3 linked regions of the Rattus norvegicus genome follow. The protein of the gene in region 1 purifies or fractionates together with the protein of each later gene. This does not show direct contact. Links are inferred from orthologs where the notes say so. Each region holds a gene or a part of one and is shown on either strand. Other genes may lie near its edges.

Region 1 (6,619 bases):
TCTTTGTATTTAGTCCAGGATGCTATCCCATGGATTGGCGCCACCCATAATCAGGATAGATCTTCCCTCAACCTAACCTCTCTGGAAACAGCCTCATAAAATACACACTCCACCCTTGTGCCTCTTATTAATGTCTACGGGGTTTTTCTGTCCAGTCAGGTTGACAGTTTAAACACCATAAGGCACCCAAACACAAATTGTAACATTTTACCGCTGGTCCCTAGAGGCTTGTGGCCATCTCTTCATGCAAAATGCATCAATTCTACCTTTGAAGGACTTCATACTCTATCTCGACAGTGTTAGAATTCTAAAGTCTTTTCCAAGACCTGAGACAAATCTTACCTATGAACTGCTATAAAATAAGAACAAGTAACATTCTTCCAATATATGGTAACAGAGTAGGAATAAGAATTAGGGCATAACAAGGAAAGATCCCACCAAAACAAGACTGAAGCCTAGCCAGAAAACACCAAGTCTTGTACCTCCATATCCAGTATCTGGGGCATCTGCCCCTGGGCCTCCAGTTCCTGCAGTGCATGTGGCTTTTCCTTGGCTAGATGCACTTGGTGCCTGCTGTATCCCTTAGCAACCGCTGCATATTTCCGGCCTCTCTGATACCCTGCTCTTGGCTTAGCAGGAAGCTGTGTTTTGATAAGCCTTATGCTTTCAGCATGCACTGAAATAAATGCATCCAAGTCCTCTCATAACTACTGTTGATGCAGAAGGAAATTCAGTAGAGAGCTTTGGTTGGCTGGATATCAACTGATTTAAATGATGATCTGTTCCTATTTAAAATCATGTTGGAAATTATATAATTCAGCAGCAGACCTGGTATTTAAATGGAATCCCCTGTGGACCTCCTTTTTATTACAGCTATCATTTCTGTCCTTGACTTTAAAAGAGATGCCCACTGTGATGCTTTTCAGGTCTAATCTGATAGAGAAACCAGATGTGGGAGCTGCAAGCTGGGGTGTCCTCTGAGGGCAGGTAGCTATTCGTCTCGGGCTTTGAGAAGAACTTTGTGTCAACTCCACCCTCTTGGATATTATGTATATTATATGTACAGTGTACAAGGGTTTTCTTCTTCCCAAATGATTTTTATCTAATGTGGTAATTATTCGTATGTGCCTGAATGTGGTAGAACGTGTCAAATTCATGCCTCCATGGGTCAGGTGCCTGGGTTACCTGACTCTGAACTCATGAGGTAAGATCAGGAGAACTCTGTCAAGAGGAGAGAGGGGTTTGGGTCAAGCATCTTGCCCTTCCTCCTTCCATAATTGAGGGGCATACCCAGTCAGTAGAGGGGCTGCTGCGAGAACCCTTGTGCATTTTCTACCCGAGAAGGGTGCAGTTGTTGTTAAAGTAGGTGATACCTGTGTGTACTGTGTTCTTTCCTATCTAGAACTTCCCAGACTGACTTCATCAGATTTGTGCCATCTTTGTTGCTGTAATAAGCTGTACTTTGGAGTAGTGTTAGGATGTATTTTGATCTACACAGCAAACATGTCTTGACAGACATTTGCAATTACAATTACATGTGTTCACCATCTCTCTGCATCGCTTGCTTCTGCCCCCTCCTCCCTCTTTACCGGTCGGCCCTGTGTCTCCAGAGATTTTTGCCTTTCCTAGAATGTCATATAATGGAATGGCTATTTAAGAGCTAGTTAGGAGACAGCAAGGCAGACTGTTCAGGGGATCCTACCACAGAGTTCTACCGTCGAGAAGAGCTCAGCTCCTTTGAGGATAAGTGGGAGTTCACAGCCAGACAGGAGGGTGGTGTGGTGGATCCTGGATGAGCCCACCTCACAGGATTCTTGCTAACGGAGGACAGGTGACCGAACAGCCATCCCACGCAGCATTGTGGGAGCCTAGGAACCTGGTCAGGTGTCAGCAGTGGATGATTCTTGCTAACGTAAGACTGGATGATGCAGAGATGGACACAAAAGCTACAGAGAACAGGGTTCCCAGGGACTTCAGTAAAGTTTGCTCAAAGGAGACCCCATGTCCAAATCCACATGCCCAGCCTTTCTGGCCTCGCTGCCTGCCTTCAGGTCTAGGAAGCGTCTGCATTTTCTTCTGCTCTTTCCCTAGCACTTAAACATCCCACTGCCTTAAACCAGACAATTGGTTTAGCAGTTCACCTCCTGGAGGGTATCTTTGGTTATTTCCCAGTTTGGGCAATTTGAATAAAGAAGTGAATATCCAAGTATTGCTTTGTTTTACGGTATGATTTTATATTTATAGGAATAGTTCTGTACAGTTATTTATGCAGGAAATTAGCCCCTAGCTAATTTCTCCAGTGTTAACATATTATATTGAATTGTCAAAACTAGCTAGCCTGGGCGCGTCGCTGTTGTCTAGGCTTTGTTTACATTTCAACAGTGTTTTTACAAATTTTCTTGGTGTATTTTACCATCCATCTCCAAATACCTCAGTGCATTGGTAGTACATTAATTGAATTTGAGTTTATAGGAGTGGTTTGGGTGTGTTATATTTATTAAATATCTTCAAAATCCTCAGCATGTGCTGAAAATAGGAGTGCAAACCTATCAGCTGTAAGGGCGGTGTCACTTGCCAAGTGAGCGCTTTAATCATGAGATTATTATTCTGAGTGTTTTGCCCCCAAGTTCGCATCTAGCGTCAGTAAATGCGCAGTGTGCTTAGTGCACTGAGAGGGGCTGCAGGCTTTGATTACAAGATGCTGTTTCTCAGCAGCACTAGGGCCTACGGGTAGGTCATTCTAAGGGCAAGTGCTTCAAGGGGCTGAGAGGAGACCGGGGGCAGTGTGGCCATGGGAGCTGTCGTTGACAGCTTTTCAAATCTGTCAGAGGAGAGGGGTTCAGGTAGCTAATGAGCATCTTTAAATGTTTTGCTGGCAGAAGGGCTCCATGAAAGATGACAGAAGAAGTCATTGTCATAGCCAAGTGGGACTACACTGCCCAGCAGGACCAGGAGCTCGACATCAGGAAGAACGAGCGGCTGTGGCTGCTGGACGACTCCAAGACGTGGTGGCGGGTGAGGAATGCGGCCAACAGGACAGGCTACGTGCCTTCCAACTACGTGGAGCGTAAGAACAGCCTGAAGAAGGGGTCCCTGGTGAAGAATCTCAAGGACACGCTAGGTGAGTGTCCATACCCCACCTGGAATAGCAGGTCGTCCCACAGGAACAGCCAGGGTTAGCACTGCTGCTTCAGTGTGCGTGTGCGTGCATGCGTGCGTGCGTGCGTGCGTGTGTGTCTGTGTCTGTGTCTGTGTGTGTGTGTGTGTTAGATACGTAGTGTGTGTATGCATGTGTTGTGTGTGTGTGTGTTATGTATGTAGTGTGTGTATGCATGTGTAGTGTGTGTGTGTGTGTTAGGTATGTAGTGTGTGTATGCATGTGTAGTGTGTGTGTGTGTGTTAGGTATGTAGTGTGTGTATGCATGTGTAGTGTGTGTGTGTGTGTTAGGTATGTAGTGTGTGTATGCATGTGTAGTGTGTGTGTGTTAGGTATGTAGTGTGTGTATGCATGTGTAGTGTGTGTGCGTGTGTGTGTGTGTGTGCGTGTGTGTCTGTGTCTCTGTGTGTGTGTCTGTGTTAGATACGTAGTGTGTGTATGCATGTGTAGTGTGTGTGTGTGTGTGTGTGTGTGTGTGTGTTAGATACATAGTGTGTGTATGCATGTGTTGTGTGTGTGTGTGTGTGTGGTAGGTGTATAGTGTGTGTGTACGTGTTGTGTGTGATAGGAATGTGTGTAGTGTGTGTGTGTATGTGGCTGTGTATACAGTGTGTTTGTGTGTATGGAGTAGGTATGTATGTATGTTATGGGGTGTGTTATATGTGGTAGGTGTGTAGTGTGTGTGTAGGTGTGTGTGTGTGTTAGATATGTAGTATGTGTTTGCATGTGTAGTATGTGTGTATGTGTGTGGTAGGTGTATAGTGTGTGTGTATGTGCTGTGTGTGGTAGGAATGTGTGTAGTGTATGTATGTGGCTGTGTATTCAGTATGTTTGTGTGTATGGAGTAGGTGTATATGTTGTGGGGTGTATATGTATGTGGTAGGTGTGTAATATGTGTGTGTGTATGGTAGGAATGTGTATAGTATGTGTATGTATGTGGCTGTGTATTCAGTGTGTTTGTGTGTGTGGAGTAGTTGTAGGGTGTGTTGTATATGGTAGGTGCATAGTGTGTGTATAGGTGTGTGTGTATGTATGTGCTATGTGTGTGTATGTGTAGTAGGAGTGTGGGTAGTGTATATATGTGGTGCCTGTGTGTGTGTGTGTGTGTGTGTGTGTGTATGTGTATGTGCTGTGTGTGTGTATGTGTGGTAGGAGTGTGTGTATGTATGTGGTGCATGTGTGTGTGTATGTGTATGTAGTGTATGTGTTTTGGGGCCGGTATTAATGTTGATAGCCTCCTACCTTCTGGGGTTTTATATTGAGATTAAGATAAACACTAATCATTCTCTGGATAAATTATACAGTTTGGGATCTTGGGTAAATCAACTCCTCCTCATGGTGCTAAGGACCCCTACACAGCTGTCTGTCTCCTTGTATCCAGACAGTAGAGGACCCTGACTTAGAATCATGACAAGTTTAGTAGCTTTTTCTGTCAGTGTATCACCTTTTATCTTACAAATTCCCATGCTGGCCTCTGCACACAGAAGGAGAAGGCACTTCTCCCCTCGTCTTCGGTGATAGCATAGTTTATTCTACAGTTTCGGGCAGTTGGTTAATGTGTAGTTGGGGTGATTAGAAACATGACATCAGAAGTCTCTCAGATGGATACCTCCATAAGCCCTGTTTGGTTATCACATTCTTCATAGCTGTGCCTCTTGTCTTCCTCTGGTATATTAGTTCATTTCCTGACACTGTAACAAACTGCTTGAGGTTAGGCTATATAAAGAACACTGCTTAATTTGGCTTACACTCATGGTCCAAAGTCAAGTGGCTGTATGTATATCTCCTTCTTGGCAAATTTTCAGTATGGTACAAGTTCCTTATGGCAAGAGACCAGGAGGGATAAAGAATTGTATGTGTGTGTTTTTGATACTGTTCCCTCTGTAAACAGAATTTATGCAACTGCTATCACCCAAAGGCCCCACTTCTAACCACTGTTATAGGAACCAGTTTCTTCTTTCTTACTACCTCTGTAGGGGATTAAATTCAGCACAAGGTAAGGAGATACATTCGAACCCCAGTAATCCATAGCACCTGATCAGACAGGGGTTCGCTACCTCAGTGGTAGGGAAGCATACCTGAGTGTGTACATTGTCCTCACCAACCATGGTTACTGCCTCAGATTGTCTGAGAATATAATTGGGAGGGCTCTGTGGAAGGACAACTGAACTGAGCTGACAGTTTACAGTTGCTGCCTCCTCAGGTAAAGTATAAAGTTGTCTATAGGCAACAAGGCCAGCTCGCCACTTGAGGTTTGTTGTGGAAGTAAGCCAGTATCATCACCTGGGCTGAGTGTATGTAGGCTTTTTTGTGTGTTACTGGAAGAGAATTAGTTTCATTAGCAGGGGCAGGGTGAGGGGACTATGGGAAAATTGAAAACAAAATCACACTGAGTGTGGTGGGTGTTGCAGGGAATCCGTCTTCTTCCTTGTAAAATCCACAAAGGTCACTGCTCACCCTTCAGTGGGTGAAGCCTTCGGTCACTGGGAGGGATTTTGTGCTGTGGTTGGATTTTTCTCAGGTTATCGGTGGCTAGTGTAGACTCTGAGACTGCTGGGAAAGCTCCATATGTTATTAGCATTCTAAGTCTTTTTTTTTTCTCTAAACTTTCTCCCCTGTGTATTCTTTTTCTTTGGTTTAAAAACAGTCACTGGAAAGAAATGCTTCTGTCCTAGTCTCAGGACTCTCAGTGAGGTGCGATAGATAAAGAGGCATGTTGAATGGGTCAGTGCTTTAGTGTGGTCCTGAGAGTATTTGACTGATTTTCCAACTCCCTCTTACCACACCCTCTGTAGTACTGTTGAGCATTGTTGACATATTTTGCCTCAAAAATATCTCAGAATTCCATAAACTACAAAACACACAGGACTTGGAGGTGGACTAAGTGAGCCTCCAAGGTCATGGAGAGCTCCTCGAGTGACTGCCTTATTGACTTTCTTAGAAGTCAAGATAAGGCAGGGTCAGAGCTCCGGGCTTTATCTTTGCCCAGTATATTCAGACTTCCCTGCGTGTGATCAGTTCCTCTTGTTTCACAACCCTAAGGTACAGAGCAAGGCAGCACATCTTCCCCCTGGTGCTGGGCCTGCTTCCCTGTCACCGACAGACCGCCATCCAGCCCTGCTGGAATGCTTCGACTGCTAGAAAAGGCCAATTCCATTTTTGGAGAATACAGATTGTTAGAAAGTGCTTCCTAAAATAGAATCGAAATTTTACATTTCTCAAACTTCCTCCCCTTGGCTCTGACTCTGCCCTCCAGGGCTATGCCAAGCAGAACAAATCGCTTTAGTGAGTGACAGCTCTTCTGTGAACTTCTGTCTCAGTTTCAACACATAGTTCTTTGGAAACATTTGCATTAAGCATGAAAGATTGCAAAAATACAGATAAACTATGTTTTAGGTATCCATATTTATTAATAGGAGTTGATTTTTATAGTCAAGGGGCCTTTGGGATTCAGGGGGAAGT
Region 2 (6,619 bases), on another chromosome or scaffold:
GGAGAGATGGCTCAGGCGGTTAAGAGCACTGACTGCTCTTCCAGAGGTCCTGAGTTCAATTCCCAGTAACCACATGGTGGCTCACAACCACCTGTAATGGAGATCTGATGCCCTCTTCTGGTGTGTCTGAAGACAGCTACAGTATACTGACATACATGAAATAAATCTTTAAAAAAAAAAAAAGAAACTTAAAAGAAGCATTCCATTTAAGCAGAAAACCAGTAAGTCAAATATCTCAGCCAACGCACACATATACACAACCTACTCTTTGAGGACAGAAGACAAATTCACGAAAACTGTTGTCAGAAGAAAATAATGATCAAGTGAGAAATAATTCTTGGGGAATGAGTATTTAAAATTAACAGAACAGGTGGCTGGAGAGCTGTCTCAGTGGTTAAGAGCACTGACTGCTTTTCCAATGGTCTTAAGTTCAATTCCCAGCAACCACATGGTGGCTCACAACCATCTGTAATGGGATCTGATACCTATCTCTTCTGGTGTGTCTGAAGACAGCTACAGCATGCTCATAGACATAAAGTAAATCTTTAAAAAAAAAAAAAAAATCAGCAGAGCAAGCCAGGCAGTGGTAGCGCATGCCTTTAATCCCCAGCACTTGGGAAGCAGAGGCCGGCAGATCTCTAAGTTCCAGGACAGCTAGGACTGCACAGAGAAATCATGTCTTGAAAAAACAAAAATTGGGGTTGGGGATTTAGCTCAGTGGTAGAGCGCTTGCCTAGGAAGCGCAAGGCCCTGGGTTCGGTCCCCAGCTCCGAAAAAAAAAAGAACCAAAAAAAAAAAAGGATAAGAAAAAACAAAAATTAACAGAACAAATGTGTAGCAGTTGGAGGCTGAGAGAAGAATCAAGAAAATTCTCCCACGGTTTTCTTTTTCAAAGGTAACTGAATGGGAAATGTGAAAGATAATAGTTGGAAATAATGAACAAATTAAATAGAATAAGGGAAATAAAGAAATAATATGAAAAAAAGACGCAGGAGTTGGCGAGGTGGCTTGGATTTAAGAACAGTTATTGCTGGGTTTGGTTCCTAATGCTCTTAGGATGGCTCACAGCCATCTGACACTCCAGTTCCAGGAATCTGATGCTTCTTCTGACCTCCGTGGATACTGTGTAAAGGTGGTGCCCTTATATACATATGGTCCATATACATACTAGGAAACAATTTTTTTTTTTTTTTTTAAAGAAACTGGAGGATGGAGAGATGAGTCAGCAGTTAGGAGCACTGAGCACTTGCTGTTGTTACAGAGGATCCAGGTTTGGTTCCTAGCGCTCACATCACATAGATGACAGCTACCTGGAGCTTCAGTTCTGGGGCAGCTAATGGCTTCTTTTGGCCTTTGAGGGTACCTGCACATAAATAGTGCGCATGTACTCAAGCAGACACATGCACATAAAAGTCATAAAAAACTGAAAAGACATTATTATTTGATGAAGGGTTAGAGTAGAATGAGGAGTGATTGCTAATTGAGAAAAGGTTTCTTTTTTGTTTGTTTGTTTGTTTAAAAATTTATTTATTATATATAAGTACACTGTAGCTGTCTTCAAACACACCAGAAGAGGGCGTCAGATCTCATTACAGATGGTTGTGAACCACCATGTGGTTGCTGGGATTTGAACTCAGGACCTCTGGAAGAACAGTCAGTGCTCTTAACAACTGAGCCATCTCTCCAGCCCGAGAAAAGGTTTCTTTAGGGGTTGATAAAATATACTAGTTATATGGTGATAATGATTGTGACATTATGAATATATTAAACCTCATTGGATCATACATACAACTCAAACAAGTAAATACAGCATAGATGGGAAAGAATAATAAAACTAGATTCAGCCAATTGCAAAAAATGATCAATAAAGCAGCCGAAACTGTAGCCTATAGGAACTCTACTTTTTTTTTATATTTTGTTTTGTTCGAGATGAGGTTTCACTGTGTAGCCTTGGTTGTTCTGGAATTTGCCCTGTAGACCAGGCTGGCCTTGAACTCATAGAGATCTGCCTACCTCTGCCTCTGCCTCCCGAGTGCTAGGATTAAAAGCATGTGCCACTACCACCTGTTTATGTGAAGTAGTAGTTGTTGTTGTTGTTGTTGTTGTTGTTGTTGTTGTTGTTTTAAATTGCATGTCAGGTTATAATGAAAGGTTTGCTGGAATTGGGAGTGAAAGCCAGGGCGGAGCATCTGGTTAGCCCATACAAGCCCAGGTTCAGTCTTCACTAAGGCACAATGGAATGTTATATACAAGTATGTACTGATAAATTCAAGTTATGGAAAGTGAATTTTTTTCTTAAACGATATAGATTTCCAAAGTTTACTTTTATAAAAATGATTAAAGACTGTGTATGTCCTAGAAGAATTGAGTTTATAGCTAAAACCCTTTCTACAAAGAAAATTATTAAAACCTACCTATCTTCATTAGTGAATCAATAAAATGTTTATGGATGAAATAAAACAATTCTATATAATTTCCATAAAATAGAATATGAGATGTTTCTGACACATTTAGTGACTTCAGTTTACCCAGACCAAAACATTACAAGAGAGCTATATTTTTCTCTTGAAGTTGGCGAAGTTTTAACAGTGGTACTCCAACAATGTGTGAGAAGAGCGATAGACCAGGGCCAGATAGAGCTTGTTTCATGACTGCAAGGACGATTAAGGTGGTGTAACTTAGGATAAGCAGTGTGGTTGTACAAGTAGAAAAGACACTGAACATAACTCAACATTCATTTCTGACATGTGCTGAGCAAACTTGAAATCAAAGGAAATGTAATAAATTTGATAAAGGGCATGTTAGAAACATTGACTGTTTATTAAACTAAAAAAAACTGACTATTTTCATTTCCTGTTTCAGTAAAAACACAAAAATACTTACTAAGGCCTTTACTTAACCATGGTCTGGGGACTAGCCAATTCAGTAAGGTGCGATGAATGAAAGAGTAAGAAAGCTCCAAATTAGGAAGGATATGGCCACCTCTCTTTGGTTCACTATAGCATATTACTTATAGAAAACTCTGTGAGGCCTACACAGATTTTAAAGTAAGTAAGAGAGTGTTCAAAGGTCAGGCCTAAAGAATGAAGTTTATTTTGTGTTCTCTGGTGGGGCTGATCCCTGTGCTCCAGTCATGCTAAGCAAGCAAGCTACCTCTGAGTTACACTCCAACCCACAAACTGTAGCGTCAAAAATAAGTATTCCTTTACAGAAATATGAAAGTAATGGCAGGGTCAGTATTCTGTCTCCCAATAACTAGCAAACATTGCTGAGAGAAATTAAACTCCTAATTTATAAAGATTTGTTATTGGCCATGGATCAGAAAGCAAAATGTGTATAAATTCTAAGTTGATTTATAGGTTAATGCAGTTCCCGTCACAGCCTGAGAAGGCTTTTTGTAGAAATGTAAAGCATTGTTAATTTCATATAGAAATGTAGAGGACCTGAAATCATCCTAGCAGATTTGAAAACAGTAAAAAAAAAAAAAAAAAAAAAAAAAAGGCCTTAGACTGTTCTTTTGATGTTTGTTATAAGGATGACAGTAATCAAGGTACACGGGGTTGGCATAATGATAGAGAGATGACTTTAAGAGAGCAGAGCATCCAGAAATAGATTCATGGTTTTAAGAGCTACAGATTAGAGGAGGAGGACTGGAGAGGAGAAGGAATTGATGTGTTTAAATGTGCAAAAAATGTTACTGATGTTGCAGTAATTTTTTTTACAGTGCAACTATAGGAGAGTTGGGTAATTTAAAGATGTAATATTTACAGACTGTAATAAAAAGGAAAGTATAAGCCAGGTATGGTGACTCATGCATTCAATCTTAATATTCTTAGGCTATACAGGAGAATTGCCATGAATTTGAGGCCAGTGTGGGCTGGAAAATGAGGCCCTGTCTCAGAAAAGCAAGTTGGAAGAAGAGGAAGGGAATGAAGGAAGAAATCAGCTTTCACAAGTGGCGTTTGTAAATTGTGTCATTGGAGGCCCCCTCCGTCAGGGCGCGAGATGTGTGTACCTGGGTCCTATCATAATTTTATTCATAATTGGTTTCAGGAAAATACAAACACAGTAACAAATGCCATAATTAGCTTTGTTTAAAGAGATAATTTTCTCCCTCATCCCTCAGGAAGTAAAAAGAAAGAAAAAGAACGGCCAGAGATTTCTCCGCCGTCTGATTTTGAGCATACCATCCATGTTGGCTTTGATGCTGTTACGGGAGAGTTCACTGTAAGTTACCAATTGAAGTTTGTTTATTAAAGCAGTGCTGAAAGGTTGGGGAATCGCTCTGTGGACAGAAGCACTCACTAGCTGGGCAGTAGCAGCCTTTAATCCAGGACTGGGGAGGCAGAGGCAGGTGGATCTCTAACTTCAGGACCAGTTTGGTCTACATGGTTTCAGGACAGTCAAAGCTGCATGGAGAAACCCAGTCTCCAAAACGTGAGAGAGAGAAAGACCTACTATGCAAGTATGAGGACCTGAGTTCAAATCTCCAGCTTGCACATAACCAGATAAAGTAATTGTAGTGCTCCTACTATGTAGTGGGGGACAAGAGAGACTGCATGCTCATGGAGTTGTGTGGTTATGGTGACGCAGTAAGAGCAAGCGACCTTTCTCAAGGAGGAAGACAACCATGCCTGAGATGATCCACTGGCTTCTGAAAATGTGCACACAGTCAAAATAAGAAACCAAAAAAGGAACTCCAGCATTTTGTTCAATGTTAGGCTTAAAATTAACTTTTCTCTCTGGTTTTTTGAGACTGGATTTTTATGTAGCCCAGGCTGGCCTCCCACAAACTTTATTTTGTAGTTAAGGCTGGTCTTGAATTTAGTCCTCCTGTCTCTGCTGTCCATGTGCCAAGGTGATAACTATGGGGTCACATGACTGGTATTGAACTTTTCTATCCCATATGATGATCCTTTCTTTATTTGTTGTTGTTGTTTGTTTAAAACAAAGTTCACTATGTCCCAGTAAAACCTGGAATTCTAAATTCTCCTGCTTTTAGGTGTCAGAGTGTGGGGTTATACACTGACTACATAGAATTAGTTATCAATTCTTACTGGTCATAAAAATATTAGTGTGACTCAGAAAATTAGAGCATTTGTTGCTCTTGCAGAGGATCTGGGTTCCGTGTCCAGCACCCACATGTGGCTCACAATGATCCACAATTCTAGTTCCGGTGTATCTGACACCTGTTTCTGACCTCTGAGGGCATGAAACATATAGGTGGACATACGTACATGCAGGCAGAATAGTCAGTCACATACAGAGCATAGCCTTCAAAGGGATTAGTAATTGGATGACCCTTTTCTCCAGAGAGCCAAGCCTATCAATTATAGTTATGAAAAACAGGTACAGAGTGTGATGGTTTGTATAGGCTTGGCCCAGGAAGTGGCACTATTAGAAGGTATGGCCCTGTGGAGTAGGTGTGCCATTGGGTGTGGGCTTTAAGACCCTCATTGTAGCTGCTTGGAAGTCAGTGTGTTCCGCTAGCAGTCCTCAGATGAAGACATAGAACTCTCAGCTCCCCCTGCTCCATACCTGTCTGGACACTGCCATGTTCCCACCTTGATGATAATGGACTGAACCTCTGAACCTGTAAGCCAGCCCCAATTAAATGTTGTCCTTATAAGAGCTGCATTGGTCATGGTGTCTGTTCACAGCAGTAAAACCATGACTAAGACACAGAGAAATGAACTTTTAGGGATAGGATGATGGCTCAGTTGGCAAAATGCTTATCTTGCAAGTATGAAAAGATCTGAATTCAGATCTTTCCTTAAAACTCATAAAAAGCCAAATGCTGGGGCTGGGGATTTAGCTCAGTGGTAGAGCGCTTACCTAGGAAGCGCAAGGCCCTGGGTTCGGTCCCCAGCTCCGAAAAAAAGAACCAAAAAAAAAAAAAAAAAAAAAAAAGCCAAATGCTGTTGCGTGATTCCACGCTCCCAACCTATTTGGTAGCATTTTAGGCCAGTAGAAGATCCTATCTCAAACAAAATTTGGAAGGTACTGGAGGACCACACTAGAGCCTGTCAGTTGACCACATAGTCCTTTTAAAAAAACCTAGACTTTTTGCCAGACATGGTGGCATACACTTTTAATCCCAGCATTTGAGGTAGGTTGATCTCTGAATTTGAGGCCAGCATGGTCTACAGAGTAAGTGAATCCTAGGACGGCTGAGGTTACACAGAGAAACCCTGTCTCAAAAAACAGAATAAAACCACTGTACATTTTAATCCCAATACTAAGGCAACTGTGGGCAACTAAGGCAACTGGAATTTAAAATATTTTGAGTTCCAGGCCAGGCTGGGCTATATAGTTAAAACTCTGTGTCAAAAATAAGTGAGTAGGGCTGTAGAGGGCTCAGGTTCGGAGCACTGGCTGTTCTTGCAGGAGACCTGGTTCAGCTCCCAGCACCCACACAGCAGCTCAGAGCCTTCCGTAACACGACTGCCTGGGTGTTGTCGTTGGCCTGTGAAATGTTTTTCATTAGAGCATTAAACCGTAACTGATTTGTGGATTTCTTTTGGTTAGGGCATGCCAGAGCAGTGGGCACGGCTGTTGCAGACCTCCAACATTACCAAACTGGAGCAGAAGAAGAACCCGCAGGCTGTGCTGGATGTCT
Region 3 (6,719 bases), on another chromosome or scaffold:
GGTCTAGAGAACCGTTAGGATTTCTTCTCTTTTCTATCTTTACTGCTGGTCATCGAGAGACTATTGGAAATACTTGTTATTCACGGTGGATCACAGATATCCCTGTAAGGAGTTCAAAACTCGGCCTTCCTGTGGCCTTCTTGCCACGCTAGCTTGACTGTTAAGCTTGGCTTAGTCCACACGGTCTCCATCTTTACTGTGGACTGCCGCAAGTCTCCTTGCCCCAGCCATAGTTGCTTTGTTCAGAAGCAGTTCCTCTGTGCACTGACGAATTGACCTCTTTGTTTCTTCTTCTTCTTTTTTTTTTAAAGATATGTTTTTTACTTTTGTTTCTGTGTGTCTGTGTGCTGCATGTGGGTGGGTTCCCATGGAGGTCAGAGAGGGCATTGGATCCCCTGGAACTGGAGTTACAGGTTCTTGTGAGCAGCCTGATATGGGAGCTACAAGAGCAGCAAATGCTCGTGACCTCTGAGCCATCTCTCCAGCCCTTTATTTTCTCTTTCCTATCTGAGTTTAGATTCCTTGTGCCCGGGTTATTCTGGCTTCCATTTTTGGAGATCAAGAAAAGAGATTTTCTTGGGACCAAGCTTTGGAGAACTTGATGTTCTTGAGCTCTCCGTTTTATCTTTAGCCAGTGTAATGACTTACATCAGTCAATCTGTCCGTCCATCCCTCAGTTCAGTCCTGTATGAACTTAAGCAAATTGTAATGGGCAGATAGCTGTAGGTTTCAAATGCTAAGTGTTTTGTGACCAAGTGTGTAGCTAATTTCTCATGTGGTATTTATTCTCTAATCAAGTCCCATGGGTGTGACTATTCCAAGGTACAGGTGAACTGTGGCCTATTAGTCAAATACGGTCACAGCCTGCTCTTGAATGCCTCTCAAACTGAGAATGACTTTATATGTGTGTTTGTACATATGTGCATATACACACACATATATATATACATATGTGCATATATAGAGAATATATATATCCTAGATATGTGAAAACACACACACACACACACACACACACTTTCCAAGACAGGGTTTTCTGTATAGCTCTGATTTGTCTACCAGGTTGGCCTCGACCACTGCTTCCCAAATGCTGAGACTAAAGGCCTGGACCACTGCTGCCAGTGACTTTATGTTCTTAAAAGGCTGTTAAAAAAAAAATCAGGGGGCTGGGGATTTAGCTCAGTGGTAGAGCGCTTACCTAGGAAGCGCAAGGCCCTGGGTTCGGTCCCCAGCTCCGGAAAAAAAAAAAAAAAAAAGAGCACTGATTGCTCTTCCAGAGGTCCTGAGTTCAATTCCCAGCAACCACATCCAACATTCCCAGCTCACAGCCATCTGTAATGAGGTCCGATGCCCTCTTCTGGTGTATCTGAAGATAGCAATAGTGTACTCATTTAAAAAAAAAACTAAAATAGATAAATCTTTTTGAATAGCTAATTGATAGAATATAGGCTCACCGCACCTTCAAGCCCTGACACCCTCCACCCCCAAGTCAGAGGACTTAAACAGATGCCTCAGCCAAGAAGATGCACAATGGCAGGTGGGCATATGAAAACATGATCAACACCAGGCTCCTTGGAAATTGTGAATTAAGCAAGATTGCAAACTGAACAGTACATGCTTACTAGCGAGGCCAAGATCCAAACCGACAGCACCAAGTGCTGGCAGAGATGTGGAGCAACAGGAATTCTGTGTTGCTGATGCAAACCCAAAGTTGGTATAGCCATTTGCAGCATCTTATAGAATCAAACACACTTGTACTGTATGACCCACCAGCCAGTCACACGGTGGCGAGGTGCGTGCATGGACAGTTACCTAGAAACTCTTGGTGCTTCTTGCTCTGTTTTGCTGTGAACCTAAAACTTCTAAAATTGAGGTTTTTTTGGTTGTTTTTGTCTTTTAGTTGGGCTGGGAATAGACATCAGTGGTGAAGCCTGTGCTTAGCATGCGTGAGGCCCTGGGTTTGATCCTCAGTACCACAAAACAGAATCATTTATAAAAGGAGTCTGTAAGGTGGCATTTTATAGAGCATTTATGTAGGGGACGAAGTGTTCAGGACCTCTGGTCCTTGTCTAATCCTAGACTTCCTGGGTACTCAGAGCCTCTAATTTTAACGCTGTTCTTTTGAATTCTGGTTTTGTTTATAGGTCTATGAATGACCTAAAGCTGCAACTAAAAACGGAGAGAGAACGGTGCCAACTGGGAGCAGGGCAAGCATGCCAATTCCTCCTCCCCCCCCACCCCCGCCTGGTCCTCCCCCACCTCCCACCTTCAGTCAGGTAGGTAACCTCTCCACTGGGTTATCTTCAAACCTCTAAGTAAATTGGTGGGCTTCTCGTACTGTTCTCTTCTTTTTCTTTCCAGCCTTCTTTGTTTAAAACTTCTAGATTTTCTTACCTAACTGCTCTTTCACTGTGAGCTTGCTTTTTGCTGTGTTTACTTTTCTTTTATATACTTGACACGGATGAGTGTTTTCCCTGCTTGTATGTATATGTGCCACTTGCATGCCCGGTGCCCAGGAGGTGGAAGTTAGCCTTGGGATCCTCAGGAATGGAGTTACAGCAGCTGTGGAACCTGGGTCCTCTGCAAGATCAGCAGTGTTCTTAATCACTGAGCCGTCTCTCCAGCACTTACCCTCTTGTGGTTTTGTTTTTTGTTTGTTACAACAAAATCTCGCTATATAGTCCAGGCTGGCCTTGTATTTGCCGTGTAGTCCAGGCTGGCCTTAAATTTGCCTCATTTCTCTTTTTTTTTTTTTTTCTTTTTTTCCAGAGCTGGGGACCGAACCCAGGGCCTTGCGCTTGCTAGGCAAGCACTCTACCACTGAGCTAAATCCCCAAACCCCTGCCTCATTTTTCTTAACTGCTGGGATTACAGACATAAAATAACCCTATCTACTAATTGTTTTAAATACCATCTATACTTTTAATATGTATTTAAATTTTTTTTCTTTTTCTTTTTTTCGGTGTATTTAAATTTTAACTAAAAATTTTCTCCTCGGATTTTGAGACAGGATCTTACTATGTGACTGGCCTAGAGCTTACTAGCCTGTAACTTGCAGTGTGATCCTCTTTTCTCTGCCTTGTGGATTGTAGCCCTGAGCATCTGCCCAGCTGCATCCTGGATTCCTGTCGCATTTGTAGACACATTTAATAGCAGGCAATGTAGATAGACAACAAGCCTGTCTGCCTCAACGGGTTTGCATTTCTGAGCAGTCCCCATAACTATCTATTTTATAAATAGGTTAGTCTCAGTTGGGCGGTGGTGGCACACGCCTTTAATCCCCGGCATTTGGAAGTGAGAGGCAAGTGGATCCCTGAGTTCAAGGCCAGCCTGGACTACTGAGCAAGTCCCAGGACAGCCAGGGGCTACATAGCGAAATCTTGTTACCAAAACCAACCAACCAAAAACATAACAAAAATGCGAATAGGTTAGCCTCCTTTCTCTGGCGTTCTTGAGAGAGGGATGAGGACCTGAGGAGGTAGTTTTCTGCTACATTTCATCTTTCCTGCGCCCAGTCAGTTCAGTACAGTTTTTAAAATTGTTTTCTTTTATGTGTGGGTGATTTGCCTGCATGTATCTGTGAACCATATGAATGCCTAGTGTCCTAGGAGCCAGAAGAGGCTGTCAGGTCCTGAACTGGAGTACAGACAATGATGAGCTGTCATGTGAGTGCTGGGAATTGAACCCAGGTCCTATAGAAGAGCAGCCAGTACCCTCAACCATTGATCCATCTCTTCAGCTCCTTGGGTTTTTGTTTTGTTTTGTTTGAGCCAGGTCTCACCGTGTAGACCTGGCTGGCCTGGAACTCAGAGATCTGTCTGCCTTTGCCTCCCCAGTTTTGGGATTAAAGGCGTACACCACCGTGCTCAGCCTTTGTTGGTTTGGGCTTAAGACAGGGTCTGACTGAGCAGCCCAAACTGGCCTGAATGTAACTAGTCCTCCTGCCTCAGCCTTGACCATCCCCAGCTTTCATCTGAACAGTTTTTGCACTTTTCCTCTCTGTGCCAAGCACTGTAGAGTACTGAGTGGTGGTCCTGTTGTCATGAACATGTCATGTTGTCAACAGTTGTAAACTATACTAACTTAATAGGTAAACTATATTGACTCTTAGCCTGCTTTCTTAATAAATTAAAAAACATACAGATTATACGTATGAGTGGTTTTGCTTGCCTTTGACAGCTTGTATGCCTGGTGTCTTCTGAGGAGGCCATAGTAGAATGTCAGATTTGGAGCAGGAGTTACAAGTGGTTGTCAGTTGACTGATGTGGGTGTTGGGAACTGAACTCAGGTCTTCTGTAAAAGGAACAAATGTTCTTAAATCTCTGAGCCGTTTCTTCAGACCCTGCATTCTTTTTAATCTTAATTGTTGCTGAAAAATTTTAAATATCTGCTTCCTGTTTAATTTCTTTTGTGAGGGGTTGGGGGTTTAGCTCAGTGGTAGAGCGCTTGCAGGCCCTGGGTTCGGTCCCCAGCTCCGGAAAAAAAAGAAAAAGAAAAGAAATCTTTTGTGAAGTACGGTCGTGTCCTTGGATTATTAACTGTCGGTGTGTGTCCTAGTCAGGGCTTCCATTGCTGAGAAGAGACACCATGCCTAAGGCAACTCTTATAGGGACATTTAACTGGGGCTGGCTTACAGGTTCCATTATCATCATGCCAGGAAGCAGGGCAGTGTCCAGGTAGACACGATGCTGGAGAAGGAGCCGAGAGCTCTGCATCTAGAACTGAATGAAGGCAGCAGGAGACTGCCATCCTCAGGCAGCTAGGAACTCTCTCAAAGCCTACTCCCACAGCGCCACACCTTCTCCTTCAACAGCGCCACACCTAATCCAACAGGGCCACACCTCCTAACAGTGCCACTCCCTGGACCAAGCATATTGAAACCACCAGTTTGTAAAACGTTTTTATATGTTAAGGTACTGTAGAGCCCAGGCTTTCCCTGTGCTTTAGTTGTGTTAGAAACCGTGAGCCTTTGTGCATAGTTACACTTGTATCTCAGGCTGGACTTGAACTCCAGATCCTGATATCTCAGCCAGCTAAGGTTATCTGCAGTGTGTGCTATCGTACCCAGTTTTAGAATGGTTTTGATTTCTAATGATTTACAGAAAGGTTCATTAAGAGCTTGGAAAGCCCTACCTGGGTGTAGGCTGGTAGAATGGCTCAGAATGCGTGGCAGCCTAAGTCTGGTCCCATGGTAGAGGGAGAGAATTGACTCATGAAAGTTGTCTTTGACCTTCATACATGAGCACATGCATGTGAGTGCACATGTATGTGCACACACAGAGACACAAATGGAATAATTGAAAAAAAACTCTGCATTTAATGAGTGGTGTTAAGATTTAACAGATGGACTGGGGCTATAGCTCAGTGGTGGAACATTTGCCTAGGCTGCAGAGTGTCTGAGTTTGGTCACTCAGACACACACACACACACCCCAACCACAACGGTGTGGGTTACATTTTAGGTATATGTAGGATATTCATTTGGGGATGTATTGTATCTGCTGCTGTGCATGTGAAGCTGAGGTCAGACATGAGGGTGAGATGGAAAACTGGGAGGGTTGTGGAGACAGGCCCCAGTCAGTGAAGTGCTCACATCACAAGCAGCACGGCTTCAGTTTACTCTAGCACTCCTGTTTAAGGAAAAAGGAAGCTGAGTGCAGCAGGAGATAGAGGTGAGTGGTCTCTGAGTGCAGCAGGAGGTAGAGGTGAGTGGTCTCTGAGTGCAGCAGGAGGTAGAGGTGAGTGGTCTCTGAGTGCAGCAGGAGGTAGAGGTGAGTGGTCTCTGAGTGCAGCAGGAGTAGAGGTGAGTGGTCTCTGAGTGCAGCAGGAGGTAGAGGTGAGTGGTCTCTGAGTGCAGCAGGAGGTAGAGGCCAGTGGTCTCTGAGTGCAGCAGGAGTAGAGGTGAGTGGTCTCTGAGTGCAGCAGGAGGTAGAGGTCAGTGGTCTCTGAGTGCAGCAGGAGATAGAGGTGAGTGGTCTCTGAGTGCAGCAGGAGGTAGAGGTGAGTGGTCTCTGAGTGCAGCAGGAGGTAGAGGTCAGTGGTCTCTGAGTGCAGCAGGAGGTAGAGGTGAGTGGTCTCTGAGTGCAGCAGGAGGTAGAGGTCAGTGGTCTCTGAGTGCAGCAGGAGGTAGAGGTCAGTGGTCTCTGAGTGCAGCAGGAGGTAGAGGTCAGTGGTCTCTGAGTGCAGCAGGAGGTAGAGGTCAGTGGTCTCTGAGTGCAGCAGGAGATAGAGGTGAGTGGTCTCTGAGTGCAGCAGGAGGTAGAGGTGAGTGGTCTCTGAGTGCAGCAGGAGGTAGAGGTCAGTGGTCTCTGAGTGCAGGCCAGCCAAAGCTGTGTATGAGACCTGGTCTCAGAACTAGAATGCAGCACAAACATTACCAAAATGAAGTGGAGAGCATTTGAGGAAGACACAGGACATCAACCTCTGGTCTCCGTATGCATGTGTGCACACGTATATACACAGGAATATGTCTGCCCATAGTGTGCAAACCATGATGGGCTTTGTTCATTAACATGTAGATGGAGGCTGAGGATGGAACTTGGGGAAGTGACGTAAGAGAAAGATGAAGAGGGTTGAAAGAGGCAGGAACTCTGAGGCAATCACATCATCTTAGTCAGGGTTTCTATTCCTGAACAAAATACGACCAAAAAGCAAGTTGGGGAGGAAAGGGTTTATTCAGCTTACACTTCCACATTGCTGTTCATCACCAAAGGCTGGAAC

The links.
Region 2: the proteins of Nck2 (region 1) and Pak2 purify together in Homo sapiens (affinity purification with mass spectrometry; 3 studies listed by BioGRID and IntAct, counting the BioPlex papers as one, with this or other methods). This does not show direct contact. The link is inferred for Rattus norvegicus from reciprocal best matches to the Homo sapiens genes NCK2 and PAK2.
Region 3: the proteins of Nck2 (region 1) and Wipf2 purify together in Homo sapiens (affinity purification with mass spectrometry; 3 studies listed by BioGRID and IntAct, counting the BioPlex papers as one, with this or other methods). This does not show direct contact. The link is inferred for Rattus norvegicus from reciprocal best matches to the Homo sapiens genes NCK2 and WIPF2.

The regions. Positions count from the first base shown.
Region 1 is NC_086027.1:53,291,998-53,298,616, forward strand, and holds part of Nck2 (cytoplasmic protein NCK2), read left to right. Parts: intron 1-2,879; 5' UTR 2,880-2,895; coding exon 2,896-3,121; intron 3,122-6,619. UniProt on the Homo sapiens protein: Adapter protein which associates with tyrosine-phosphorylated growth factor receptors or their cellular substrates. Maintains low levels of EIF2S1 phosphorylation by promoting its dephosphorylation by PP1.
Region 2 is NC_086029.1:82,242,000-82,248,618, forward strand, and holds part of Pak2 (serine/threonine-protein kinase PAK 2), read left to right. Parts: intron 1-4,126; coding exon 4,127-4,227; intron 4,228-6,528; coding exon 6,529-6,619. UniProt on the Homo sapiens protein: Serine/threonine protein kinase that plays a role in a variety of different signaling pathways including cytoskeleton regulation, cell motility, cell cycle progression, apoptosis or proliferation.
Region 3 is NC_086028.1:84,334,510-84,341,228, forward strand, and holds the start of Wipf2 (WAS/WASL-interacting protein family member 2), read left to right. Parts: upstream 1-2,213; coding exon 2,214-2,276; intron 2,277-6,719. UniProt on the Homo sapiens protein: Plays an active role in the formation of cell surface protrusions downstream of activated PDGFB receptors. Plays an important role in actin-microspike formation through cooperation with WASL.